Linked DNA regions of Mus musculus: regions 1, 2 and 4 are each reported to be linked to region 3. The links are microRNA targets in miRTarBase. Many come from high-throughput screens and were not tested one by one. Region 3 holds a microRNA gene; each other region holds the end of a gene's coding sequence.
The links. The annotated mature microRNA mmu-miR-709 reads GGAGGCAGAGGCAGGAGGA and lies in region 3 at 5,148-5,166, opposite strand. An mRNA with a match to its seed (bases 2 to 7 or 8) in the 3' UTR can be bound and repressed. Matches are read on the target gene's strand: a 7mer-m8 pairs with bases 2 to 8, a 7mer-A1 pairs with bases 2 to 7 and ends in A, and an 8mer does both.

Region 1: miRTarBase lists Cd2bp2 as a target of mmu-miR-709. Seed matches in the 3' UTR shown: 7mer-m8 at 4,514-4,520, 7mer-m8 at 3,905-3,911 and 7mer-m8 at 3,899-3,905.
Region 2: the mRNA of Tmx4 is a reported target of mmu-miR-709. Seed matches in the 3' UTR shown: 7mer-m8 at 3,053-3,059.
Region 4: the mRNA of Mfsd4a is a reported target of mmu-miR-709. Seed matches in the 3' UTR shown: 7mer-m8 at 5,861-5,867 and 7mer-m8 at 5,855-5,861.

Annotation. Positions count from the first base shown.
Region 1 is chr7:127,187,824-127,194,982 of GRCm38, forward strand. Cd2bp2 (CD2 cytoplasmic tail binding protein 2) reads right to left here. Exons shown (of 7, transcript NM_027353.4): 4 at 6,921-7,078; 5 at 6,380-6,818; 6 at 6,192-6,298; 7 at 3,837-6,107. The coding sequence ends at 5,997. Among named protein-coding and RNA genes, the nearest start is that of Cd2bp2, 4.7 kb to the right of the region's middle.
Region 2 is chr2:134,592,361-134,599,519 of GRCm38, reverse strand. It overlaps Tmx4 (thioredoxin-related transmembrane protein 4), which reads left to right. Exons shown (of 8, transcript NM_029148.1): 8 at 655-5,019. The coding sequence ends at 995. Among named protein-coding and RNA genes, the nearest start is that of Hao1, 42 kb to the right of the region's middle.
Region 3 is chr8:84,084,333-84,091,332 of GRCm38, reverse strand. Mir709 (microRNA 709) reads right to left here and starts at 5,234; the gene lies at 5,147-5,234. It overlaps Rfx1 (regulatory factor X, 1 (influences HLA class II expression)), which reads right to left. Exons shown (of 21, transcript NM_009055.4): 8 at 5,666-5,760; 9 at 3,261-3,627; 10 at 1,041-1,222; 11 at 264-383.
Region 4 is chr1:132,032,342-132,039,476 of GRCm38, forward strand. It overlaps Mfsd4a (major facilitator superfamily domain containing 4A), which reads right to left. Exons shown (of 10, transcript NM_001114662.1): 10 at 4,442-6,632. The coding sequence ends at 6,577. Among named protein-coding and RNA genes, the nearest start is that of Elk4, 28 kb to the left of the region's middle.

The DNA of each region.
Region 1 (7,159 bases), not on the chromosome of region 3:
AGTGAGAGGAAGATAACCTAATTCTAAGAATTATAGTTAATTTGAGACACAGCCATGTCTCTCATGCTACACCCCAGTCCAGACTTGAACTCATGAGCCTCCTCTTGCTTCAATCTGAGCACCTGGATTATAAGCATATGTCGCCAGTCCCAACTACAGCTTTTAAAAAATGGGCAAAAATATAAAGAAAAAAAAAATCACAGGCTGGTGAGATGGCTCAACGGTTAAGAGCGCCAACTGCTCTTCCAAAGGTCCCGAGTTCAAATCCCAGCAACCACATGGTGGCTCACAACCATCCGTAACAAAATCTGATGCCCTCTTCTGGAGTGTCTGAAGACAGCTACAGTGTACTTACATAGAATAAGTAAGTAAGTAAGTAAGTAAATAAATATTAAAAAAAAAAATCACTGAATCTCGTGACTAATCTTTAGGGACAGGCAGAGTGACTGAGGTCCTTGAACACTCACAGGCTGAGGGGCACCGGGCTTGCGGCTTCACCTCAGTGCTCCGCTCCGCATCTCATCTGCTTCCTCAGCACAATGGGCAAATTCGGTATTAAATAAAGAGTTGGGACTAATATGTGTAGGGATGCCTCAATGCCAGTCTTCCTTGCCAAACGATGGCTTGATACTCGGAACAAGGACAGTGTGGACTGGGTGAGAAACTCAGCTACTTGGCAAGCATGGAGCGGCAGAAATAAATGTGCTCAGAGCAGGACACTGGAGCCAGGGATCCTGAAGCCACTGCAAACTGCAGGGCAGAGGCCGGCAGAGGAGAGGGTGGGAACCGGAAAGTCAGAGCAAGACTGATCGCATCAGAACAGGAAAACAGAAACTGCTCAAGGCATCCCCCGGGGCAACCCCCAGGCTGCTGGCTTCTACAGCCCCAGCACCTGCAGTATGGCAGCTGGAGTCCTACCTTAGAGATAGTCTAGGCCTGACAAGCCCCTGAAGAACAGAGACTTGGTAGGGAGAGGCCGGCAGTAGCTGGAATTAGCTGAGTGTAGGTAGACTGTATATAGGGCCCCAAAGTATTGGTGGTGGCCTGGGGTTGCTGAAACCCTGTTTAACACCATAACCTTGATCCCCAAAAGGACCAAGGACAGCCTGTCCTCCAGGGGGAGTTCAGAAATGACTTCACACTCCCCAGAGCATCAACACCTCCCATTTTGCACACACCTGTTTATAACCCAGACCTGAGACAGTCATCGGGTTTCAGGATCATGAGAAGTTGGGTACTTTCAGATACACAGCTTGGTTTTGACTTCATGTAGACAGCCACAGCCTGCAATCTAGGATCAGCGGCAAAGCAAAAAGGCTCATCTAGTCAACAGATGGAGTCAGACACTGTCACACATCTAAAGATACTAGAACTTCAAAGGAAATGCGAGGGTGGAAAGTTTGAGGCCAGTTTTTTGTCAAGAAAAAACGGCCTGAGAGATAGCTCAGCAGTAAGGAGCAATTGCTTCTCCAGAGGAGGCCCTGGGTTCGCTCTCCACTCACAGGTGCCTCACATCTGTCAATCAAGTCTCCTGGCCTCCAAGTCTGGCATGGTACACAGACACAGTACACATACATGCAAGCAAACATGAAAACAAGTAAAATCTTAAAAGACAACAACCCCCTACACACACATATACACAAACAAACCAAAACCAGCAGATGAATGCTGTGAGGCTAAGACCTCTTCCTGTGGGAAGGAATGGAGGGTGTGTCAGACATTCTTCAATAAAACCATTTTTGTCTAGTTGGGTTTTTGTTGTTTGAGGGGTTAAGACAGCTCATGTAGCCCAGGCTATCCTTAAACTTGCTAGGTAAACTGAGACTGAATTCCTGGTCCTGTGTGCTGGGATCACAAGCATGTGCCACCACACCTGTGACTATGCAACTCAGGCTTTCCCTCAAGTGCTGCAACCAGTGTGTCCCACCACACCCCATTTGGCTTATTTTAGCAGCGTTTGGACATCACTCTACTACTCCTTGTCCTCATGAGTTACCTCACCCAGAGGGTCCAGACTCCCTGCCTCGCCTGGCTCCTGTTACCTCCTTGGAAACAGACAGCAGTCAAGTCAATGTACTGAATGTGACATTGTCACCTATAGCTTTGATCTTAAGGCTTTCTTGTGTGTTTGTCCAAGATACAAGGATACTCCACAGAGTAAAAATGGCTGCTGTTAGTTTTATGTTAAGTCGTCTGGGAAGAGGTACTCTCGATTAAAAAGCCTCTGTAGATGTGCCTGTAGGCAAGTCTATAGGGCTCAGCTCACTGTATCCCATGTATGAGCTGGTGGTCCTGGGTGCCATCAGAAAGCAAGCCGGGCAGGCCAGTAAACCACGTTCTCCCACGGTCTTTGCCTCTGCTTCTGCCAGCTGGCTCCCGTCAGCTTAACAATGAACTAAACTTCTTTCCCATGATGCTTTTGGTCATGGTGGTTTTCTAGTTTTTTGTTTTAGTTGAGACAGGGTTTCTCTGTATGTTTTTGGCTATCCTGGAACTCACTCCATAAACCAGGCTGATCTTGAACTCGAGAGATTCTCCTGCCTCTGGTTGGGATCAAAGGTGTGCGCCTCCACCTTAACTCATATCTTACTTAGGTTACTTGGGTCCTACGTTATCCCAGCAAGGAAAACATTAAGACACACTTCATTGCCCTCTAAGAGACTCTGGGTTCAGACACCTGTATTCCAGTATTCAAACAGCACCCAGAGAACTTCAGTTTATGACATCTTTGAACTTCTGATGCTCCTGCTGAGATCAGACGTGAGCCACCTAACCATGGCACCCTCACTTTTAGTCTCCTTGAGAAGGCTGCCCCTGTCAACTGGACAGGGAAAAGCTGGCTCGCTTCCTTTGTCTTCAGCGCTCTGCCTCTAAGGCTAACACTGTGGGGAGGTAGTTTAGGTGCTGGTCAGAGTCTGGGCTACAGACTCAGTGGGAGAAACAACCACCAAGCTAATTCTCTCAAACCCTCCCCCTACCATAAACACACACAAAACAAAACCGAGAACTGGGCTGGGCTATTCCTCAGTGCTAGAGTGCCTGTCCAGCAGATGCAAGCCCGAGTTCCACTGCACTCCCAAGAGAAGTAGCTGCACAACACAAAGTGGACTCAGTGGGGGAATAACCACTCAACTTTGGGCGAGTGGGAGATAAGGCTGGATATAAGCTGCTGGAGAACAGAAATGAATGTAATTAAACAACAAGCCGGGCATGGTGGCGCACACCTTTAATCCCAGCACTTGGGAGGCAGAGGCAGGCGGATTTCTGAGTTCGAGGCCAGCCTGGTCTACAAAGTGAGTGCCAGGACAGCCAGGGCTACACAGAGAAACCCTGTCTCGAAAAACTGTGTAGCCCTGGCTGTCCTGGAACTCACTCTGTAGACCAGGCTGGCCTTGAACTCAGAAATCGGCCTGCCTCTGCCTCCCAAATGCTGGGATTAAAGGCGTGCAGCACCACAGCCCGGCTAAAACCAATTTTTTACATGTGTATGAGTGCTTGCCTTTGTATTGTCTAACCACCTGGTAGTCTAGTGCCTGGAGCTAGAAAGCATTAGACTCCCCCACAGTTACCTGGCGACAATTGTGAGACTGATTGTGAGCCTCCATGTAATTACTGAGAATCAAGCCTGGGCCCTTTTAACTGCTCAGGTATTTCTCCGGCCCCCTTATTAGAAGAGCACATTGTAGCCGGGCGGTGGTGGCGCACGCCTTTAATCCCAACACTCGGGAGGCAGAGGCAGCTTCTGAGTTCGAGGCCAGCCTGGTCTACAAAGTGAGTTCCAGGATAGCCAGGGCTACACAGAGAAACCCTGTCTCAAAAAAACAACAACAAAAAAAGCACATTGTAGTTTTATTACTGGAGAGGAAGTGGAGAGGAAGGCAGTTTACCCAGCACTTGGGAGGCAGAGGCAGATGGGTCTCTCTAAATTCAAGACCAGCCTGGTCTACATAATCAATTCCAGGCCAGCCAGGGTCCAAGAGAGACTCTGTCTCAAAACAACAAAAACCCATCCAAACAATTACTGGCTTTGTGCTTAACAAAGTCCATGGTCTTACCACCCAGAATAGACCCAGTTCCGAACCTAAGCAGGGTTGGGTCAGGTGAGTGCTTGGCCGGGAAGACAAGGAACTCTGGTGGCTCTCCAGAGCGTAGCTGGGCGCAGACTCACTTCCGACCGGTGCTTTATTAAATTACCACAATGTAAGCAGCTTGACACAAATTTATTATCTTACCACTCTAGAGGGTACAGTACAAAGTGGGTTAACTGGGTTATCACTGTGGGACTGCACCTGTCTGAGAAGAATCTGTCTTCTGCTTTTCCCGTCTCTCCAGGCACCTGCACCCTGAGACATACGCCTCACTTCCAGCTTTCAGAGTCCTCTGCTCTCATTAGGGATCAGCAAGGACCCATGACTACAATGGCCCAAATAATCAAAGGTAATCAATCTCCCAGTCTCAAAATTTCTTAATTTTGCCCAGCGCCATGGTGCATGACGTTAGTCTCAACACTTGGGAGGCAGCAGGCCAGTCAGGGCTACACAGTGAGGACCCCCTTCCCCATTTCAAAAAATTAAAACAAAACAAAACCTCAATGTCACTTTACCCTTTCCCTCTGCCACATAACTCATAAAGTGGTATTCACACAGCTCAGGATGTGGGTATCTTCAGGGATCACTATTCTGCCCCCTCCTTGGTGTTATCAGAGAAGGGGAGAACTCGCCAAGCGTGAGGGAACTGAGTGACACCTGGGTATCTATCCCCCAACACCTGTGAACACTCAGGCCACCTGACTAGATTTCACTCGTCCCAAGATGCCAGGTACCTCAGAAAGCCAGTTCCTCTGTAACAGTTAACACCTTACCAATGCCTGGAGGGTTTCTGCTGTCTCAGTGACTCACTGCATCAGATGTCCTACTACTACTAATGGGCTTCTTGAAGTCAAGGCAACTGCAGTCTAGACTGGCAGGAACCAGTCTAGTTGTTAGATGTGTTGGAGGTCTCTGCATCAAATACCCACCACCAAGCCCGAGCTGAGCCTAGGAACTACTTCCCAAGTTCTCAGTTTGTAGCTCCTGGGGCGCCTCCTGGAGACAGATGAGGCGAGCAGAGCAGCATGGTGGGGTGAAAACTTAGGCCCTGCCTGCCTCCCACAGCCCTCTACTGCACTCCAGATTCCTGGAAGGGCCAGACCGACTGTTTCCTCGAGGCACCAGCCCCATGCCCGAGATGTGGGAGCCCAGGAAACGTACACTACAATGCCTGAAAGGCCAAGCAAGAAAAAGCTTTATGCCAAAAAAGGTCAGGAGACTTAGCTCCATGGCCAGCTCTCTATTACTGTGGCATCTCCAATAAGCCACTGCACTTTGCCCCCCTCTGTGTCACATGGTGGCTCAAGCAACCTTGAAGTGCTACCAAGTTTATACTTCACCTAAAAGCTACAGAAGCTACTGCAGGGGGGCGAGGGGTAGAAAAATCAGACTATGGAAGAAGAGAATGCATGTTTAAGAGAATCTCTCAATAGGATTTCAAGGTCTTCCCAATGTCCCAGCTACAAGGGAGCTGCCAGGACAGAGCATTTGAGGTCCTAAAAGTCAAAGATCAGCAGAACAGGGACTTGCAAGGGAGACTGGAGAAAAGAGTGATGGAGGGAATTTTACACAGCAAGTAGAAGTTGTCTACGTAGGAAAGTCACAGGACATCTGATGGGCCCTACCTCTGCCTCCAAGGGTGGGAAAAAAAACTGAGGTGGTCCAAGACACCAGAGAGAAGCAAGTGAGGAAGTCTCTCGGGAAGAAACGCTCAGGGACCTACCAGGTGAAGCCAAAAGGAGCTATGGAGAAGCCCTGGCTCTTGGCCATCGCACAGTCAAGGCTTTTATTGGGAAACAATGGCTTTAAAGTGGCCTCCAATATCCTCACTGCCCAGAGCAGCTGGGGCTTCCTCTGCCAAGTTCAAGAAAGAAGGGGCTGCCGTGCCGCATGGGGCCCTTAGCGGGCTCACGTGTACAGCTCAAAATCAATGCGCTTGGAGTTGTAGAACTGGCCGCCCGGAGGGTCCAGCTTCCGACAATAAACACCATCCGGGAAGTAACCTTCACTCACCCACGTCTGTAAGAACAGAGGACAGAACTCAGGCAAGCTGACAGAAGGTGGGCTGGACAGATGGGACAGACGCGGCAGGGGGCAGCTCACCTGCATCTGGGCACTGGTGAAGGGTCCATACAGCTCGGCGTCCCCCGTGTTCTCCCATTTATACTCCCACATCACATCCATCAGGCCATCTCCTGCTGACTCTGCCTCTAACACAATGAACGATACTTGGGCCTCAAGCACTCAGTCTCCAGCCCACACTGCCCCCCACCCGTGCCCTCCAAACTTACCCTCTCTTTGGGTAGGGGTTGGGGTTTCCAGTTCACCCTCTGCTACTTCCTCAGCAAACATGTCCAGGGAGGGTGGAGGTGTGGGGTCATGGGATCCCTGGGCCCGACACCCCAAACCCTTCAGTCGCATAGCCAACCGTTCCCTTGTTTCCTGGTACACACCAAGGTTGCCTCGTGCCACCATTTGGTCAGCTAACCCAGACAGCCGGTCTAGCCGCTGGGGGGAATTGGGCCGTCCAGTCCCCTTGCTGTTGCTCCCTTTGCCTCCTCCTCGGGCCCCCAGCCGCCTAAGGGCCCCAGCCACTGTCTCTCTTGGCAACAACAACTCCAAAAGTCCCTCCAGGAGTGCTTGGGCGCTCATTGGAGTCTGACCCAGGCTGTCTTCCTCCTCCGAGTCTGAAACCTGGTGCTTATCAGGGGGCCGTTCCTTGATCCTCACCTACAAGGAAAAGATAATTAGAATTTCTTACAAACTTCCACCAGGGCCCAGGCCCTGCACCTGCACTCCCAGGCCTCAGCCAGAATAGTCCCTGGGCCACACCCAGTCAATGTTGTCCAGCCAGCTGTCTCGGATCTGCGCATCCTGGTTCAGGAAGTAGTTGCCATCAGCATCAAAGTGGCCTTCCTCCATCTCTTCCTGCAGGTTGAAGGGTGTGATCCTCACACCGCCCTCACTAGGGAGAGTAGCTGCTTCCTGACCTGCACCGAAGACATTGGGGGTGGGGCATGCTAGACACGCAAAAGGGAAGCAGGCACACCTCCCACCTCCATCCTGAAGGC
Region 2 (7,159 bases), not on the chromosome of region 3:
TGCAAAAGGCAGCCAGTCTAAACTGCTGCAGGAGTTCTCTGATTTCAAGCCTAGCCCAGATGATACTATGTTTATGAAGTTCATTCAGTAACTATTAGTATTCCCAAACATATTTTATCAATTTAACTTTGTGGTAAGAGATCTTTTCTTCCTGACATTGGTCTCAAACTCCTGGGGAGTATGACTTTTATTGGCTTGTCTGAAATAGTTGCTATGACCAGTGAGTCATTTAGTATTTTATACAGCATGCAATACATACTGTATACCATAAAACAAAACTTTGTACTCCATTCCCATCTGCCTTATCATACACTCAGTGGTGCTCTTATAGGGAAATATAAAATTTTTAGATGAGGCTAAAACTCTTCAGGCAGTGGTGGCACACACCTTTAATCCCAGCACTCAGGAGGCAGAGTCAGGTAGATTTCTGAGTTTGAGGCCAACCTGGTCTACAGAGTGAGTTCCAAGACAGCCAGGGCTACACAGAGAAACCCTGTCTCAAAAAGACCAAAAAAATAAAAATAAAAAATAAAAAAAATTTTTTTTTAAATTCCCCATTTGTTCATCTCCTGGTTAATCAGTGAGTTAATTACAAAGTTGCCATTTATTATCCAGAGGTTTTTTGTTTTTTTGTTTTTTCTTTTCCTTCCATAGAGCAGGAGCAGAGTACTGGAGAGGCTCAAGGAGCTGAGCAGCTACAGGATGCAGAGGAAGAAAAGGATGACTCAAATGAAGAAGAAAACAAAGACAGTCTTGTGGATGATGAGGAAGAGAAAGAGGACATTGGAGATGAGGATGAAGGAGAAGAAGATGAGGAAGAGGACAACTTGGCAGGCATCATGGCTGAGGAGAGAAGTGACACCAACGAGCGAGCAGTTGTGAAGGAGGGTAGTGTGTCCCCAAAGGAGGACGGAGCTCACCCAGCTGACACTCAGGACGTGGTGGAAGACGCCCTGAGGCAGCGCAAGAGTCAGAATGCCAACAAGGGATCTTAGGTTACATTATGACATTTCTAAAAATACAGGCCAAAAAAGAAGTCTGTTTCCCTCTGGTCTGCAGTTTAAGCCAAATCCTTAGTTGTTTGTTTTGTTTTTCTGAATGAGCAGTGTTCACTTTTAGAAGATGATCTCTGGCCCCGTGGTTACATGGTAGTAAGCCTCAGTGTCGTAAGAGAGGTGTAGCACTTAGCCATCATAGTGTTAGTACCTTTGTGGGGTCTTGAAGAGAACAAGTTGATGTGCTTGGGAGCCAAAGAGTAAATCAGAGGACTTCTCTGCAGTTCTCATTAGCACCTTTAGAAGTGAGGCTGCTGCTTGATAAAGTGACAGCAAAACCAGAGCATCCTTAAAGTGCAGGAAGTCTTTGCCGTCGTTGTTAAGCATGTGTTTTAGTCAGGTCAGAAACATCAGGTACCACAGCTCCCCAGCACTCTCTTGAGGCTAGAAATTGTGGAGACCGGGGTATAGATAGAACTTCAGCATGGAGCTAGGGAGTCATCTGAGCTCTTTTGGTCTCTCGTCTTTTGTTTCTTACCTTTCATCTCTATGACTTTTCCACCTTGCACTTGCAGACTCCCATGGTTCACAGCTGCTCTGTAGTGAGAAGAGCCGGCAGCAGTGATCTGCATGGATTACCCTTACTGGATGTAAAACTTGAGGGAACCACAGTTGAGGAGGCTAAGACTGCCAAGTGTCTCAAAGACATATGCTGTACTCTCTGAAAATTCAAAAGGCAGTGGCAGTTTCATAGGACAGGTACAAGCAACATCTTTTTTGGGTCCTATAGTTACAGGATAACTTCTTCAAGAGTTTCTCCAGCCACATCCTTTGTTTTTCTGAACCCAGAGTGCTCTAAGCCTTGTCACTGTAAGGTATTTTTATAAAGCTGACTTCAGGTCTGTGGTGGTTAGTTTCCATCTCAAGAAACCTCTCTGGAACCACTTTAATAACAACTGAAAAGGCATGTCGGCTTTGCTTTTAGTGATGTGCTTTTGGTGAAAAAACAAATTGATGAAAGTCAATTTCAGTAGGTAAAAGATTTTATTTGTTTCTATCTCCCTTGATCCTCTGGAGAATTGTGTGATTATAAATCTCTCCCTGCTCAATCCAATATCAGTATCAAGGAACCCAGATTCCTTATTAAATAAAAAAAAATCTCTATCTCCTCTCTTACCCTCTCAAGTCTGAGAATAAATCCATAAAATTAGATTCTAGCTATATGAAGGATGACTAAATTCAATCTTATTCCCCCTTGGGTTGAGTCAGAATAATGAGTACAGGTTTGTGAAACTCAAAATGTTTCATCATTTTAAAAAGGGGTATGTAGTGTATTTCTCTGGCTGCTTAGATAACGTTTTCTTTGCATTAGCTGCCAACAGGAGGGTCATTGTTAGTGGAGGTTCAGAATCTGCCTTCCTGTACTGCACAAGGCTGCTACAAACCTTGCACAAAGAAAGATTTTATTGTGACAATCCATTCTTTATGAATGTTTTTGTTTCATCTTTCTAACTTAGTTAACTGTCAGTTCAAGGCTGAGGCCATCACAGAACTGGAGACCTTACTGCCCTTCCATGTTTCTGCCCTTCTGATACATCCTTACTCAAAAGTGTCATGGTTCTGTGGTACTTTTCATCTTCCTAATAGAGCTGAGCTGCACCTTCTCTTCTGCCAGTATATTTCCTTCCTTCCTTCCCTTGTAATCCTTCCTTGATGCATGGAGTGTTTAAGCAATAGTAAATCCAAGTTCAGAGTGGTGGGAAAGGGACGACTTGCATCTCTGTTCTGTGAAGTACCCTCCTCCAAATCGACATACTGGGTTTTAATGGGATATTTGACAAGAGGGAAAGCTTGAAGGATTACAGTCTGCCTTGGCTTTGATAAATGTTTTAAAACCAGGTTCCATTTGGACCACAAATACTACCTAATAATATAATAAGATAATATATTTCCTTTCTTTTTTTTTTTTTTTTCCTGAGATAGGGTTTCTCTGTGTAGCCCTGGCTGTCCTGGAACTCACTCTGTAGACCAGGTTGGCCTCGAACTCAGAAATCTGCCTGCCTCTGCCACCCAGGGGCTGGGATTAAAGCCGTGCACCACCACCACCACCCGCATTATATTTCCTTTCTTAATACTTAAAAGATATTGGAAGCTGGAAGAAAAAGTCATGGAGAAGGGGGTCTAGTCCACTAAAATTATATTTATTTGTAGGAATCATTTTTTTTCCTGGCTTTTCTGTTTTTAACATCCTGGCAAAAATTGGGTTTCTAGTAAATAGTCCAGGACCTTAATTTCTTTCCATATGAAGCCTTAAGGTTTATTTTCAATACTTTGTTCATATAAAATTAAAGGAATAAACAACTTAAGATTAGATAAACATTTAATACATTTTTGTGTACATAATAAATTTAATCCAGAAGTGAAGTGCATGAAAATGTGATTTTCTAAAACAAAAACCATGCTTCCCTTCCATTGCCATACCTGCTATTTAATTGTAGATTGCTATTTTCTGGATGTTAAAATCTGGTGAATGAGATAGCAATTGTGGAATGAGGGTGTATAGTGCTTTATGCACAGATGGATAGAGAAAGGTGCCTTGTTCTTCATTGGAATATCTGAAAATTCCATTACCTCTTTTTATTTTTTTCTTAACCCTTCACCTCCTTAACCATGCTGAACCACACTGACTTGCTTAGAATCCCATGGGAGCGATGCACAGGCAGTTCACTTTTCTGTTGTTGTTATTGTTTGGTTTTGAAGGCTAATCATGGAACATGGAAGAGATGTCTCATTCACTACATAGGCCATTGTGCTGTGTGGCAGTCACTGCAGTCTCATCCTGTACATAGGATCTGTACCTGTTATTTATAATAACTAGTGCAATGGAAGGCAAACAAGCTTGACACAGATCAGCTTTGGACAGCTGAAAAGCTACACTTTGACCTTTTAGGGCCAACTCCTGGCTGATAATTAAGATATTGCCATGTGGTTTGAGTATATGTAAGCTTGAATAAGTGCACTGTGTAACATCTTTTGGGGAGGAGATTAAAATGCTAGTTAAGGGAATATCTGCCATGTGGCTTTTGCGAGTTTGGAAACAATGGAGGTCAAAGGGAAGTTTTAAAGAATTGTAAAGGGTGAAAGATATTTCAGCATTAAAATCCTAAGCATGAAGTGAGGGAAAGAGAGAGAGAATGGAGCTTTTGCTGGTGTGTACAGGTTTTCTGTGTTCTTCCTCTTAGTGTCCTGCTGTTATTCCTGCCAGTATTGTACATTTGTGATTGACTAGCCTGTCAAATCATTCAACTGTTTGGAAAGTATTTGTGTAAATCTTTGTGCCAACAAGAACGCTCTCAGTGTTGTGTCTCTTTACCTCATTGACTTGATCCTTGTGAGATTGTAGCTTCTGACAGAAGCCAAGGTGGAGTCTCATGAAACCTGCTAGGTCAGTTCTTTGAGCAGCTACCCAAAGCAGGAGACTCAACTGAGAAACCTTGGACAGCTTCAGCCTAGCATGTTGACCTCAGAGGCTTATTCTCTAAAGTTTCGTGTAGACTGTGATGTTCACCTGTGGCTTTGACTCATTTCTAATGTGGTTTAATTTTATTTGTCTTTGGAAAGCTTTGTAGAAATGCAATTTTTATACTAATGACACTGTTCATTTGTGAGTCAGTATATTATAAAATGGTGTGTTTTTTTGTAATAGTTTTGATTGTTTAGCCCAGTGTATTTATTTTCCATTACCTATGTATTCTGTGCTCTCAAATAGATGTGTAGCAATTGAAATGAGAAATCAGTTCATCATTTCAAGTACTACATTGCCTGCATTACAAATTCTCTGATCACAGAATTGTACATAACCCTGAGCCTATGTACTGCCATTTGATTGTCAGGTTCCATTTGTGTCAAAACCTAAAGATAGTGATGACCAAGTGAAACAGAGTGGTGTATTGCTTTTTCATATGAATATTTTCACATAAAAGCATTTGTGAAAGCAGTTGAAAATATTACTTTGTTAAAAAAAGAATTTTCTTCTGTGTTTATTCTCTGAGTGTTCATTCTCCACTTTTTGTACTTGGACTTGGTAAAATCCATGCAGTGTGCCCAAGGTTAATGCAAGGGTTTCTGAACACCACAGCCCATTGTCCTATCTGTATGAGCTCACTGCAGTTGCCCTGGTCAGGCTCGTGCATTTACTTAGTGACTTTGCTACTTCTCCAAGATTGCTGGCCTTCCACAGTCTCCTACGACTTAGAGAAGACTATCTCAACTTACCTGTTCCCACCTCTGTAGCAATAAAAGAGCCAAAAAGGCAAGGTGGCTCCTTTGAACACACTTCACACTGATGTAATGGAGATTTGATTTATTCCTTTTGAAAGATAGTAGTAAGCTGTTTGGTAAAAGAAAAAATGCTATTAAGTTCAATTTTACCCAGTTTCTTTACCAAAGTAGAGGTAAGAATTCTGTCTGTGTGAATGACTCTTGGTGAAAATTCTTCACTAATCTACCTCTCAGGTAAGTTAGTATAATCTCTAAGTATAGTAAGTGGGATTCTCTTTAATCCTGCTAATTTAACATTAGTTGCCCTTTGGAAAATCTTTTGCCATTAGAATGTAGAGTGTTTTAGTGTCACTGGTGGGGCCCTTTCCTGGAATTGAATGGTAGAGACCATATGATAGATGCAGAAAATATCAGTGGTGCAAAAGAACAAACTGTCAGGCTCATGAAGTTATAAATCATTGAAACAGTGACTGCCTTTTTAGCCCATGCTCTCTGCACATGTCTCAGGCACATAAGAGATTACAGGTTGGCTGCTTGATTATTTTGACTAATAGCAATATTGTATAGTGTATTTTGTTTCTCATATCCTTAACATCTTTGTCAAATAAGGTGACAAGCCAGCTGATCTGCGGACTCTTGTATTTACTGGAAAAGTAGTTGTCACTTGTCTCTTTTTAAATAGTTTACTTTGTATTTGGGGTTTTGTGTTTTGAAGCAAGGTCACGATGAGTGTCCCAGCTAGCCTCAGATTTACAACTCTCCAGACTTAGAATTTCCTAGGAGTGCTGTGATACATGGCATGCACTTCTCTGACTAGCAGCTGTATTTTCAAGTAGCATAAAGTAGAATGATTAAAAACCAAGTTTCTATTGTCTATTAACCTTTGTTTTAAAACTGTAGATCTATTCTTATGAGTTAGCAGGAAGATAAGTCTCTTGCCAAGTAAGGTCAATTCAAATAATAGCCTCAAGAAACCATCTACAACTGTGAGAGCTGGGAGAATGACCACATTTATAAAATGAGGACAATAATTCAGGGTTTGACAACAAGTCAGAGTTTCGTGTCTATTAAAATGGGATTTTGATAAAAATAATTTTTAATGTGACTCTCTAAGGTATACTTAGTAAATAGTGTGGTAGAAAATAAAATTGGGAGATAGTACAAAAATTATCTCTGCATTACAATTAGATACGTTGGCTACTATTTTTAAGGGGACAGTTCAGCTCAAAATAACAAACAAAAGAATAACGGACTAGGAACATGAGAAAGGTAAAGAAAGGAGCTGTTAGGTCTGTCTTGGTGGTGGTGATCATGGAGCAAGCGCACATCTTTGGAAGCCAATGACTACATGCTTCATTGGCTCTCCAGATACTGGGTATACAAGGATTGGCTGTGACAAGATGGAAATAAGCTGGAAAAACTGAAAATGCTCTTCTCTATCCTTGACAAAACAAAAAACTCATCAGCCCATGAAAACCAAGAAAAACCTTCTCTCTTGGCCTTGTCTCCTGCAAAGGAGTTTTCTAAAAGCATAGGCCTGCTTCTGGCTTTAAATAGCTTGGTGTTTGAAGTCACACTAGCATCTTATACTCAAAACCAAAAAAAGTAAACCAAGCATTTCTAATATGAAGGCTAATGGGACAGGAGAGTGAGAGTGTGCTGGCAGAAGCAAGTTAAAAAAAAAAAAAAAAAAAAAAAAAAAAAAGCTCTTGAGAACATTCCCAACATGGCTTAAGCATTCTTTGACTTCAGCTTGAAATAACAGTCACCTAAGAAAGCTGTTCAACAGCCACCAGGTATGAAGTTCAGGCTCTGAAGTCAGGAAAGTGTCATCAGCAGGTGGGAGATTGAAGAAGATAGGAGATAGAGGCAGACAAAACATA
Region 3 (7,000 bases):
GAAATGGGCCAGCTGGGGGAGGGGGAGTCAAGCCACCTGGTTGGGGTGGGGGGGGAATAACCCAGCTGTGTGGGGATGGGCTGGGGTGGGGGGTGGGTAGCAGGTGAGGACTGATGGAGGGGTGGCTGGGGAGGAGGTGATGAACGGATGAGCCATCAGGTCAGGGTTGGGCAGATTGATGAACGTTGTCTAGGGCATGGTCAAGTGGTATGATACAGCCAACTTCGCAGCCCCTGCTCAGTTCCAGAGCAGGAGGCCCCTACCTCTGTTTCTGGGAGAAGGGCTGGCCCCGCATGGCCATGTGCTGCTGGTCCTCCATCAGCCGCAGCAGGGGTGAGCTGGCTTTGATCCGCAGGCCGTAATAGTGGTACTTAGAGTTGCCCCTGGGAAGAAGGTGGGGTGAAGTGCTTTACCGGCTGGGCAGGAAGAACACTGGGGTTCTCATGCATCCCTCTCATTTAGGGGCCTGGACAGAGAAAGCTTGCCAGCTGAGCTGAAGAACATGGCATTGTATGCCAGGAGTGATCACGGACATGGTAGTATGAGTCACTGCCTGCTGCCAACTCTGATACCAGGCACACACTTGGCAGACACGAGGCTGTTGGTCATAGGGCATGTGAGGTGCTTATACTACTAAGCAAGTAGCCCCACTTTGCTTTGTCTCTATCCCATGAAGGGTGCTCCTGACAGCCTAGACAGACAGGAGAAAACTGAGACGCGAGGATGAAGTGCATGGCCGATGGGTAACATGAATGAACAAATGAACACATGCATGAAATGATGCCTGAAAAACTTCTCTAGAAGAGATGAGCAAGAACCAAGAGATCAGTGAGTAAGGAGATGGGGTAAAGTACAGGAAAGGGAAGATGGCCCAAGGGATGTCCCCAGGGTAGGCACAAGCAGAGCTGAGCAAGGGAGTTAACAAGGGGCAAGAGGGTCTTTGCCCTGTGGTTCAAGACCCCTTGGAGTTGAGGTGGGTCACGTGGGCAGAGTGTACACCCCCCTGGCCAAGGGCAGATGAGGGTGGAGGGGGGGCAAACCTGGTGCCCAGACGGCGCGTGCGCAGACCCATGAATACCGAGCGGATGAGCTTGCCGAAAGAGGCGGCATTAACTGGCTCCAGCTTCTGCTCTTGGCAGTGCAGCAGGTAGTGGCAGTAGAGGGTGCTCCGTGGCAGGCTCACGCCCTCAGCGGTCTCGTAATTATCCAGGAGCCACTGGACCTGGAGCACACGAGAAGACTGGGTAGTGCTGACAGTCTGCGTGGCTGAGTTTTCTGCAACTGCTTTCCACAATGGTTCTGAAAGCCACCCTTGCCAGCTGTAAGTCACATATCCTGTTACAGTATTCCTGGGGATTACAGTCTTAGAACTTTCTAGAACAGCACTGACTGATACACTTGCTACTAGCCACCTGCAGCTAAAGACAAAGTTGTTAATATATGTGGGATGAAAATTCAGTCTCCCACAGTCACAGAATAAGAGTTACTGCAGAACATCCTAGGAGTGAGGTAATAAAGATGGAAAGCATTATAGATTGAAAACAAATTCATGTTCCTAAAGGGGTTCAATATGTTGAAAGTGAGGTAGAAGAGGGTGAAAATATACCTAAACTCCCAACACTGGGGAAACTGAGGCAGAAGAACCACGAGTTCAAGAATTGACTACAGAGGGAGATTCTGTCTCAAAACAATCGACAGAAGCCATCCCTGGTCCCAAACTGAGATTTCTGGACTGGATGTTTTCTGTTAGGGAAGTGGGACGGGACGAATGAGTAAGGAGTCCAGTGACGGGTGCATGGGCGTTTGTCAGACCTCGTTATTAACAGTGCTTTTGTTTATTGTTTAAGTGTTCACCGGTACAGGCGTGGGGGCCAAAGGTTAGCAGCTGATGTTTTCCTCGGTTGCTCAGTTCCTGGTGTTGCTTAACTCAGTTGCTTGTTTTTGTTGTTCATTTTCATTTTATGTGTGTGTGTTCTGCCTACATGTATGTATGTACCCCATACATGCCCTATCCCCAAAGGGGCCAGAAGGAGGTGTCAGATCTCCTAGGACTGGAGTTATAGACAATGTGAGGTCCATGTGGGCACTGGAACTTGAACCTGGGTCCTCTGGAAGAACAGCCGCTCCCACTCACGGGCCATCTCTCTTGCCCCACCTTAGATTTTTTTAAGACAACATCTCAAACTGAAGCTGGAGTTTATGTCTGGCTGGCTGTAGGTGAGCCCCAGGTGCCTCTCCATCCCTGCTCCTCCTAGTGTTGGGCTGATAGGCTGTGACTTGCTGGGGACTCCAAACTCAGAACCTCTTGTTCTCACAGCAGGCATGCTTCTCCTGGGCCATTCTTAGCCCCTTTCTGTTCATTGTTCTACGACATTTATTTACTTACTTATGTACAGAGGGTCTGTGTGAAAGTCAGAGGAGCTGGGTCTTGGCCAGCACGAGGCTTTCAGGGATTGAACTCAGGTAATCAAGCTTAGTAGCCAGGGCCTCTACCTACTGAGTCATGAAAGAAGGCTACGCTGGGTACCCCTCACCAGCTCGGAACTCTGGAGCCTCACACCCACTCATGCTTCTGCCTCCCCAGTGCCGGGGTCACACAAGCACGTGCCACCCAACCAGGGTTTGGTACCATATTTATAGCTTCCTGTGAGCCTATAAGTCTTTCAAATAAAACTGAAAAAGGAAAAGCCCACAACACAGATCCTCAGGGACCTTAGCCACCTGGGTGCAACAGTAACCGAGGTGAGAGGCGTCTAGTCCAGGCACAAACAACGTGCACCTTCTCAGCAGACCTGCTCGCTGCACCAGAGGACCCACAGGGTTGAGAAATCAGAAGGTTTGCAGCAGTGGTTTATTAAATAGACTAAACTAGTGAAGACCAGCAGCCAGGGTGTGCTGCCATGTGGAGGGTGCAGTGTTCTGACCTGATCCATGGTCCTGACTGATAATGGGCCCAACTTGGGCTGACTTCAGCTCTGCCACTGTGATTGTAGGAGCTCCCATCTCTCATTTCCTATCAAGCCACCACCAGTTCTGACTAAGGGCATTTCTGCAACTGTCCTCAGAGCTTCACATAGCAGCTGAGGTACAGAGTGGCTGAGCAACACCTAAGGCAACACCACAGATGAGACCAGGCCCTAGGTCATATGAGCACTATCACTGAGCTATGCCTTGGGCCAAACTTCTGCTCTCTGAGTACTGCCAGGTTTTTTTCTCGAGTGTTCCCCCCACCCTCACCTCTGAATAAGGCGAACACTTACTGTGGCTGGTGAGGCACGGGTGGTGTGGGAGTAAGACTGGCTGGCATTGCCTAGCATGTAGCCGCCTTGGATCACGTAGGTGCCTGCTCCGCTGCCGCTGCTGCCGCCACTGCCACCACCACTGCTGCCGCCTCCCCCATTGCCCCCTGCACCCACACTGCTGTTGCTGGCCCCAGCCTCGCTGCTGGATGAGCTGGCGACAATTGGGCTGCCGGACACATACATGGGCACTGAGCCGCTGCTGGCCACCGTCTGGGAAGTAGCCGGCGTGCTGACCTGGGCAGCCGTGCCCGAAGCCTCATAGTAGCTGGTGCCTGCCGTCTGCGTGTAGATAGGCGTCTCCGGGTACTGGTAGGTGCTAGAGCGGCTGCCAAGAAGCAGACAGGAAGCAATGGTCACCACCTTGTACAAGGAGGCAGGGGTTCCAGGAGAGGACCAGAGAAGCCACAGAAACACCAGTGTGGCACCTTCACATATAAGGGACTGGGGACAGCCTGAGCACTGGATGGGCAACCACTTTCTTGTTTTCTAAAACATGTCTTTATATTAACTTATTACTTGGAGAGGGGCACATGTGTTCCGTGGCATACACACAAAGGTCAGAGACAACTTGTGGGAGGCGGGGCTCTCCTTCCACTGTGGGTCCTGGAGACTGAACTCAGACTGTAAAGCCCGGCAGCAAGCACTGCTGAGCCATTGAACCAGCCCTCGCTGGGCACTGAGCCACAGCACTCCAGCACAGGAATCACTCTCCTCACTGGTACTGAGCCACAGCACTCACTGGTACTGAACCACTGCACTCCAGCACAGGAATCAATTTCCTTACTGCAGAAGAGGAGAAAACAAGACAGGGTCCAGAATGCAGAACGTACTTCCTCGGCAACAACGACAAACAGTTCTCAGTCCAGGGAAGGGAGATACAGGAGGGAAGGCAAAGTACAAAGGACTGCAGGGTAGGCAGAGGGGCCGCCTTGGCTACCTCTTCCTGGCAGGGAGCTGCCCCTCCAACTCAGAATATGTCCTGAGTGCCGCATAGGGTAATAAGCCGCAGATCTAAGAGGGGCAACTGTAGCAAGCAAGCCACCCTAACATTTGGGCCCATCTCTGCAGGCTGCAGACTAGAGGGGGTGAGGCAGGAAGAGGAGACGCAACATGATTGCCTTGAGTCCTCCACTGGGTACCGATGGACAGCCAGAAACGAGAGGTTGGGATGAGGAAAAGACCACCCTGTGTGTAGGCAGAAGGCTCTCTGTGGGGAGGGGACAGGCAGGGCCACCTCTCACTTTTGCTCTTTGAGCCCTCCCAATGTGACAGTGATTAAAGCAGGAAAACTTGAGCCTTGCAGGTGGCTCAGTGGGTGGGGATGTTTGCCATCAAGACCGAAGACCTGGGGTTGATCCCCAAAGCCACACAGCAAACAGACTCCAGTGTTAGCATTGGCACTACGCTCAATACATGGTGCATACAACCCCCCCCCATCATCCCATGCACACACTCGAACACATGTGTATACACACACACACACACACACACACACACACACACACACACACACACACACACACACACACACACGAGGGCCAGCAAGGTGGCTCTGGGGTCAGAGACTCACCACATGAACCTCTTACCTAGTACTTGAGTTCTGACCTCAGGTCATGACCTTGCTTCTCAGGTCTGATAAGCAAGAAGCAAGCCATTTACTGATTTATCTCCCTAACCCCCAAGAAAAATTGTAAGACAGAATATGCAAGCCCGAGGAACTGGATTTGCCCCTGCAACCTGTGTAAAGGAGAGAGAAAACGGACTCCTCTAGGTTGTTCTCTGATCTCCACCTGCACCACAGCACATGCACTCTCCCCACACATAAGTCAATATAACAAAAGACAATCCTCCTGCCTCTGCCTCCCCAGTGCTGCTCAAACAGGACAGTTCTATGCTCAGAGCACTTCTGAGTAGAAGCAGAGAAACGGGACACACTAATTACTCTGTGGGACACTGAGGGTCAGATTGAGAACCTGTGGTTCCAGCACGAGAGAGGAAGTGTCAGGCAAATCTCTGAGTTCAAGGCTACCCTGGTCTACAGATCAAGTTCCAGGGCAGTGAGGGCTATACAGAGAGACATTGTCTCAAAAAAAGTTTATGTTGTAAAAATGTATGTATAAATACATATATGTATGCTTTTTCTTTCCCCTTTTCCTGCCTAAAATCCAGATCCATCTAACTGCACAGCTCCTAATTTGTGGAGGTGCCTTCCCAATGGGCCAGTGTCTCTTCTGCTACCAGCTGCCTATATTCCTGGCACCCCACAGGTGTGGGGCTATCACCTGAGCCTTGGGGGCCAGCTGGGAGTTAGAATTGTGGCCCTAACCACATCTGAGCCCTCCTTCCACCCTCTGCCCACTTACATGGCGCTGGCTGTGTAGCTGGCATCGCCACCTTCCACGTACTGCACCTGGCTGGAATACACGTGTGGGACAGGCACCTGAGGGAGTTGCTGTACCTGAAGCAGGAGGAAAAGCAGGGTCATGGGTCAGGGCTGACCACCACCCACGGGTTCACTGATGCCCACATACATCCCCATCTAGAAGGTTGCACATCATGGTTTTCTGAACAACATGGGCCAGAGGTGGGAGGCTTAGGTAGGAGGCTTAGGTGGGGCCAGGTCTCAGTTGTGGCTGGAAAACAGGAGGTGCTGGGATTCTCTGCTTTGGCAAAGAGGTTTCTAAGGCTTATGAGCAAAGGAGGGGATACCAGACAGAATTCTGCAATGGGCTTGAGAGGTGGGTTTGCAATCTAAAAACCGGGCCTGGGGGTTTTCTGGAAACCAAAAAGGTTTCCCAAGCAGATTAGGGGTGGAGCCTGAAGAGGGATCAGTTGATAGAACAACTAGAAACAACTGACAACACCTTAGGGGCAGGTACTGGATAGCCTACCTCCACCCCCAACCCTGGTTTGCAGGAGCCGTGTCTGGGACCCAGTCCCTGAGGCAGAACAAGAATGACTGGCAGCACTTTGGGGGACAGGGTAAAGACATCTCACCCCACCCGCCTTGGGTTGCAGGGGCGAAGCCTGGGAGCCTGGACTTGAAGGCGAGGCAAAGCGGCTTGCTGGGCTGAATGCCCTTCCCCTGCCCGCCCTCCGCCCCCTGCCGTGCCTCCGCTGTCCGCCGCCACCTACTTTGAGGGCGGTGCCGAACACTAGCACCTGGGGCATTCTGTGGATCCTGACCCTCAGGTCGGGGCTGGCTCGGGCCGAGAGCCCCCGCTGTGGCTCGAAGACCACCCTCTGCTGCGGCAGGAGCAGGTGTGGGGGCAGCATGCCCACCAGCTCCACCCACTGCTCCACACCCGGCTCGTAATGGAGCGGCTGCTGCTCGCTGCCTAGCTGCAAGACCTCGCCGCAGCACACTGGCCCAGGCCCGGGAGGCCGGGGCGGCGGCTCCGGCGGCGGCGTGGGCCGGGTTTCTTGCTGCTCTGCCTTCCTAGCGGGAAACTGACTGCCTGAGCTCTGGAGGACAAACAGAGACACTGGGGTATCACCCGGCTGTGAACTCATGGCCACCCGAATGAAGATTCCCCACTTGGGATCTCCTTAGAGAAGAGAGGAACGAACTGGGCACTATCAGAAAGAAGCGGAATTCGAATCCAGCCCTCTTTCAACAAGACCTGTGTCCTGAGTGGTCAGGTGCTGGGATGGGGACGGATTCAGGATGAAGTCTGAAGCCGAGGGCTAGAGTGAAA
Region 4 (7,135 bases), not on the chromosome of region 3:
ACTGGGGACCTTACTTCTGTTGCTTCTAAGCTTTATGTAAAAGTGTTGTAACTTCTATAAAGATCATGTGTATTTTAAGAAAATGATGCAGTTTTTAAAACTTCTATGTAAGAACTGACAGAGGGATTTGCCTGTATGTGGGAAGCTGGCTCTGAGAACGCACTCTGGCGGGTTTACTCCAAGTCCAGAGCTGTCGAGATCTGTCGTTAGAGACGTGCAACTAGATATGGACAACAATTGTATTTTTTTAAAATAAATATTTTTAACAAAATGACTTGGAGTGATTATTTCCTTCCCCTCGCTCACCAGTCAGTGATATTTTCATCCACACTAACTGGGTAAGGAAAGAATTCAGTGGGGATCCTGAAACGCAGTCTTCAACTGCTTGATATGTCTTCATGGAACACTTAAAGCCAGCTCAGAAGAAGGGGACGACGGTGAAATGATTGTCGGCGTGGAAGGAATGGAGAGAGGACAGATGGGCTGGAAACACTGTGAAATCTTTAAAGTTGTACTACATTTATTTATGTTGTGTCTGGGTGTATGTGCAGGTTTGCCACAGTGCATGCATGGCAATTGGGACAGCTTTGGGGGATCAGTGTTTGGCTTATGTCACGTGTGTCCTGGGGATCAGACTCAGTCAAAGGCTTGGTGGCATCTCCTTTGTTCTGTGGGCCATCTTACTGGCCCTGAAATGTGTGTGTCTCAGCGTGTGTATGTGTGTGTGTGTGTTTTATGCAAATGTCATACAGTTAGTTGTAATCAGATGTGTTCACCGAGGCTTTTGGGATGAACACATTGCTCATTTCCACTTCAGCCCCCTTTTATGTTTTCAGAAAGGGTCTCGTGTAGTTTTGGCTGCTCTGGACCTTGATAGCCTTGTGGTCTTCCTGCCTCAGCTTCCTGAGTGCTCGTTACAGATGCATACCACAATGCTTGGCCTCCCTAGCCCCCTTTCTTTGGAGAGCTTGGGAGAAGAAAAGAAAGGACCAGTTAATTTAGCAGTGAAATGAAGTGTTTTTAGAAGTGGCTTAGAACATGATGGAGGATGTGGGCCTAATGGGTGGCCTGATCACATCAGAGAGCGCAGGCTCATTCCAGATGAAAGTACCAAGAGCATACCAGATGGCTGGTGGCAGGACACAGGCCCTGGGAGTGTCTCTTTGGCTGGTGCTTGACCACACCGTTGAGCCAATGAAGGGCTTTCCTGGGAATCTGCTCAAATGCATTACCTAAGAACACTAATCTTAGAGGAGCTGAGAAATATGGTCTTGCTTTTTGCAGTCACAGAGTGCATTTTTGAATACCCAAAGCTCCAGGTCCTTCGGTGGAAAAGCCTGCCACCATTTCGGCCTTTCCAACTGTTGGCACTAGTTTGGCGAAGCGCACTGACTGCAGGTACCATTCCATCTGTGTTTCATAGAGGCGTCTAATGGCCACCATCCTCACACTGGGCTCTTTGGGCTTTATTAGGTAGGAGACAATGTTGAGTGTCCCAGGATCACACTCTGATCATCACAGTATACCTGCCACTGAAGGAATCATGAAGTGACTTCATCGGAGTCACTCAGAAGTACAGTGATGTGTCATAGAACTGTCACAGAAGTAAAGACTTCAGCAGCTGTGGAGGTTCCTAGCAGATGCAGCCATGGTACTGGATTGTGAGTGTTGTTCCCATATGTTTTGAACACACTGGTCATTTACCTAAGCCCCTCTCCCATCTAGCCCAGTGTTTGTTAGTCCTGTTAATCTCTCACAAGCACTGATGTCTTCTTAAGATGCTCTTCCCATACCTTCCAGGAAGCCACTTTGACTGTTGAATGGGTTCCTACCTCTGGCTTCTAATTTTTTACTACATCAGTTCTTTTTCTAAACCCCTAGGTTTTGAAGAACCCCCAGGCTCGATCTCTCAGTCCCTGCAACCACTAACTAGGAGATTTCATTCCTTGTCTCTGAACACTGTAAGCTATATAACTTCTCTTTAAACTCTGGCTACCAAGTCTAGCAGCTGGCTTGATATCCAGGATAGCATCATATACTGATGTGCAGAACTGTTTTTTTTAAAGATATGGCCTCAGGCTTGCAAGATGGCTCAGTTAAGAGCACTGACTGCTCTTCCAGAGGTCCTGAGTTCAATTCCCAGCAACCACATGGTGGCTCACAACCGTCTGTAATGAGATCTGTTGCCCTCTTCTGGTGTGTCTGAAGAGAGCTACAGTGTACCCATAGGTTGGGAACAGCTGCTCTTCCCAAAGATGGGAGGGCGAAACAGAAGAATCCACCAGAAGTGAGCTTGGCTGTGCAGCAGCGAAGAACTCTTCTCAGACAAGATGGAAAGGCAGGGGCCAACACCTCAAGTTGTCCCCTGACCTCTACAGGCATGGAATAACATGTATGAGTTACATAAACCTGAGTTTACTTCACATGTCCTTTCCCATGATACATCTGATCTTCATCATATTCGTTCAATCATGCATAGGCACGGTGGTAAGTAGGGTTTTTCCCTAAGACTTCATTTGTAGGGCATAGTTTGCCTTATTGTCTATGTTCCCCAAACCAGTTTAGGCTGGATGAGCCCACATTTCCAGATCCCAAGGTGTTTCAGGATGTGTTTGGCCACAGAAGGGAAGTTACTAAGGATGGCTAGGGCGCTCCAGGTTAGAGTTACCAGTTGCTTTATTTAAGAAGGGGTGTGCAGCCTGATGTTGGCAGGGTCTCAGCTTGTTAAGTACTGTATGTATAGCCAAGTAGAGTCTTCCCTGTGCTTGCCTACCTCAAAATGCCTCACACCTGGGCATAGGTCAGATGCCTTCAGCTTGAGACTGGCACCCTTCTCTTATACTCAGTCCATCAGCAAATTCTGACAGACCTTCCAACTGAATTCGCCCTCACCATTTCCACTGCTTCCAGCATGGTCCAAGTCACTGTCACCTCTCCAGCCCTGCAGTGTATCTGAGCCTACCTCAGCCCCACTGTCTTCAAACAGCCAGAGTAACGGTTTTAAATGTGTGAACCGTGCCATGTGACAGTCTGTTGGTAAGCTCACATCCCCCAGAAAAATCCACATTCATGCCACCCTGTTTCTTGCCACTGTCTGCCTGCTTTGCAGTTTGTCCAGACCAGTCTGCCAGCTGCTCCTCAGATTCTATGGAACATTCCAGTTCAAGGCCCTTCCCCTTGCTGTAGCCTCTACCTGGCAGGAATATTCTCAGGTACCCACCCGCCTGGCTTTCTCCTGTGTAGCACATGTCCTCTTGTTAAGATAGCCCGAACATCTGCCGTTCCCACGCCCACCCCTGCTGCTTCTTACAGTACTCTATCATCCTATAACATGTTATATATTTACTTGCTGTTTCTATGGCTTTGACCTTGAAGTCTCTGTGAGGCAGGGACTTCTCATTCATTGCTGAAACTGTACCTGAGCCTCTGCTTTGAACATGGTGGCTGTTTGATCTTTTTTTTTTTAATGTGTAAACGCAATCTCTGTAAGAAACTTGTGAGCTGAGGCTATCGCTCATGGGTAGAGTGCTTGCCTCCCTGGTGTACTCTAAAGTGGATCCCCAGGTGCACACAGGCTGGCCTTGGTGCTGCATGCTTGTCATCCTAGCACCTGGGGTGTGGAAATAGGAAAATCGGGAGTCCAAGATCATCTGAACTACATGGCATCTAGTCTACCTTGGGCAATGTAAAACCCATTTCAAAAAGACAAAACGAATGAATAACAACAAAACAAATGAACCCTTTGTGTCACTATACCTTCCTTTAAATGTGTGCAAGGTATGCTGGTGGCTTAGATCCCCAAGTCTGCAGAAGGAATCTGGGAACAGGGAGACATCACAACACTCTTGTTTTGTTTTGTTTTGTTTTGTTTTCGAGACAGAGTTTCTCTGTATAGCCCTGGCTGTCCTGGAACTCACTTTGTAGACCAGGCTGGTCTCGAACTCAGAAATCCGCCTGCCTCTGCCTCCCGAGTGCTGGGATTAAAGGCGTGCGCCACCACTGCCCGGCTTTTTTCTTTTTTTTTTTTTCTTTTTATTTTTTTTATTTATTTTTTTTTGTTTTGTTTTGTTTTTTTACAACACTCTTGATAGCTAGAAGTGTGGCTTAGTGGTGAGTCTTGCCTAGAATGCTTGAAACCCCAGGTACCACCCCTAGCCCTGCCCCAAGTTCCAAAGGTGTACATATATACATACATACATATACACATACATAACATACATACATACATACATACATACATACATACATACATAGTTGTCATGTGTGTATCTTATATTGGGTGTGTGTGTGTGTGTGTGTGTTTGTGTGTGTGTGTGTGCACAAGAGTGTGTGCATGTGCGTCACGTGAACCTCTAAGAGAGACCTGTCTTTGGGGAGCGTTAGACCATTTGATCTTCAGTATAAAGGGTCGACTGCCCTTCAAGATGGATAACACACTTACTAGGTTTAAAATATTTTATTTTAGGAAAGTATGAGATTCTTTTGAGTTTTCTATATTAACACATCAATCATCACCAATGTAGGTATAAGCAGTGATTCTTCTTTCTAGATCTGTATAAAAAGGATGTTTTCTTGAAAAAAAAACTACAAGAAAAATACAACCACTTTCTCTTTGCCCAGGTCAGTCACCATAGTTAGATTGCCCAGCTAGATTTTAATATGGCTAGTATGAGGTACTTTTCAATGAATTTATAAATATAGTTAAAAGGATTTGCTTAGGCCATCGGCGTTTCAAAGTTAAATTTGACTTAAAGTTTGTACCAAATGGAGATGACGTCTAAGCTGCGTATGAGGTGTTACAAAGAATAGAAGTAAAACCATGAACATTTGGAAGGCAGGTCCCATGTAGGGCATGCAGCAGATGCTCCACACACTCTCAGTTCTCTCAGAATTCCTGTGAGGTAGGGTGCTTTTAGAAATGCCATCATACTGGTAAAAACAAGCAAGGCTGGAGGTGGGGGATGGGGGGCTTCTGGAGTCACAGCTAGAAGGCTGATAACCTGGCCCACCTCTGCTCTGCTGGTGTCTAGTGTGTGAACTACAGCCCTTGGGACCATGAGTCCATGCTCACATGAACACATGTATATGCACAGAGAATGTACAGATTAAACCAATGACTGTAACAGGACATTTGTTCCTCCTAGAGACTTCCCAGAGACAAATCATGTCATGTCGCTGATGCCAGAAGCCTTGCACCCAGCCCTGCCCGGGCTGGTGAGCCGCCTTCTTGTATTCTCTGGATTACTAACCTACCTTCTGTATAGAAGAGGGCACTCCTGACAGACACTGGTTTCTGCATACTGACACTGCTCTCTGTATACTGCATGGCTTGAATTATATAGTAGTCCTAGATTTATATGGGAGGGAGGGAGGGCCTTGACACAGTATAAAATTTTCATCTATAAAAGGTATAAAATACCAAATGAGCTATTTTTTTAAAAAAAATTCTTCTGTACCTTGAGGATCTCAGTAAAGAACAACAGACTGTCCATTTCATTCTCCCTGCACTTTCTGAACCAACTAGCATTGCTCGTTAGCAGAAAGACGCTGGAAACCCATCTGTTCCCAGGGGCACGGCTTTCACCATTTCTGGGCCATGGCTGACCTTGGACTACCAGCAGGCTGTCACAGAGATCTGAGAGGAGGAGCCCAGCAGTATTCTGTCACAGAAATGTCACCACCTTGGTGCCATGGACACTCCTGAGCAGCATCTGAGCTGCTTCTTGGGCTCAGGAGCATCTGCCATGTAAAATTAGAAAGTGAGGTTTGGAGAATTACCTTTGTTTAGTTACAATTTTTTTTTTTTTTTTAAAGCTAGGTAGTGGCAGTACACACCTTTAATCCCAGCACTTGAGAGGCAGAGGCAGGAGGATCTTTGTGAGTTTGAGGCTAGCCTGGTCTATAGAGTGAATTCCAGGATAGCCTGGTCTACAGAATGTGTTCTGGGACAGCTGGGGCTACCCAGAGAAATACCATCTCAATAATAATAAAAATAATAATTTAAGTCTTTGTCATGCCTACTAGCTCTCAAAATGAAAATTTAACAGTCAACTTTCTAAAGCTTGTCTGAGTTAGCCCAATGCAACACTGACTAGGGTCTCAAAGCAAGATTCAACATTTCCTTTGTTGTCTTAGGACACAAATAAACTGATTTCTGCAGGACGGATGTGAGGGACTTGGGACCATGGGTAAGTGAAGAACACATAAATCTTTTTTAACATGCCAGAGGGGCTTGATTGATTTAAAATATATCTACACCTAGCAGTGGTTAATGACTTAGGATTTTAGCATGTTTTTCAAACTTCAACTAAACGTGATCTCAAACCCAGAGTTTAGCCCATGCGTGGGGTGGTGTGTGGAGAGGTGTGTGCGGGCTGTCTTTCATCCTCCTGTCTGGTTGTCAGGACAACAAGTCCGGACCAGAGAGGAAGATAACTAAAGTGTCAGGCAGGTGCTCGATTTGTCCAGGGAAGACTCAGGGAAGGAAGACACAAGCAAGAGCAGCCTCCTGTGCAACCCTGGCTTCCTGTGTCAGTCTGGTCACCCTGTGGCTCAGGAGCTGAGCTCTTCAGCTCTTCACCTCTGGTAGCACTCAGGGTTCTCCACACCAAGGGCTTTGTCTTGGGTAAGAACTACAAAAGAAAACATAAACAACACTGGTAGCAAATGTGGGCGGCCCCAGCTTCCTCTGCAGCATTTAGCTCTTGAGAGCAAGCAAGCTGTATGCTTTTCTGCTAGTCTAGCTCTAGGTGCACTAGGGCACACGTACAGCCACAGTCTCATAGGTGCACACATGTATGTGTGTGCGCTCAAGAGCACACGCCACACACACACACACACACACACAATACACACACGGCACTGTGGGAAGTCAGATCAAGATCAAGTTCTGGTGAAGTGCTAATAGAGACAGTGAGACTGATATCTAGGGCTGGGGGAAAAAAACTGTTTGTCTCCCATAAGAAAGGAACATTTGATATTCACAATCATCATCATCATCACCACCACCATCATCATCATCTCTTCCTCTTCCCCCTCTTCCTCTTCATTTTCTTCAAGGGCAGTCTTTATTGGGATATTTATTATGTGTGTGGTGGGGGAGTGTGCATGCTACAGTCAGGATTCATGTAGAAGT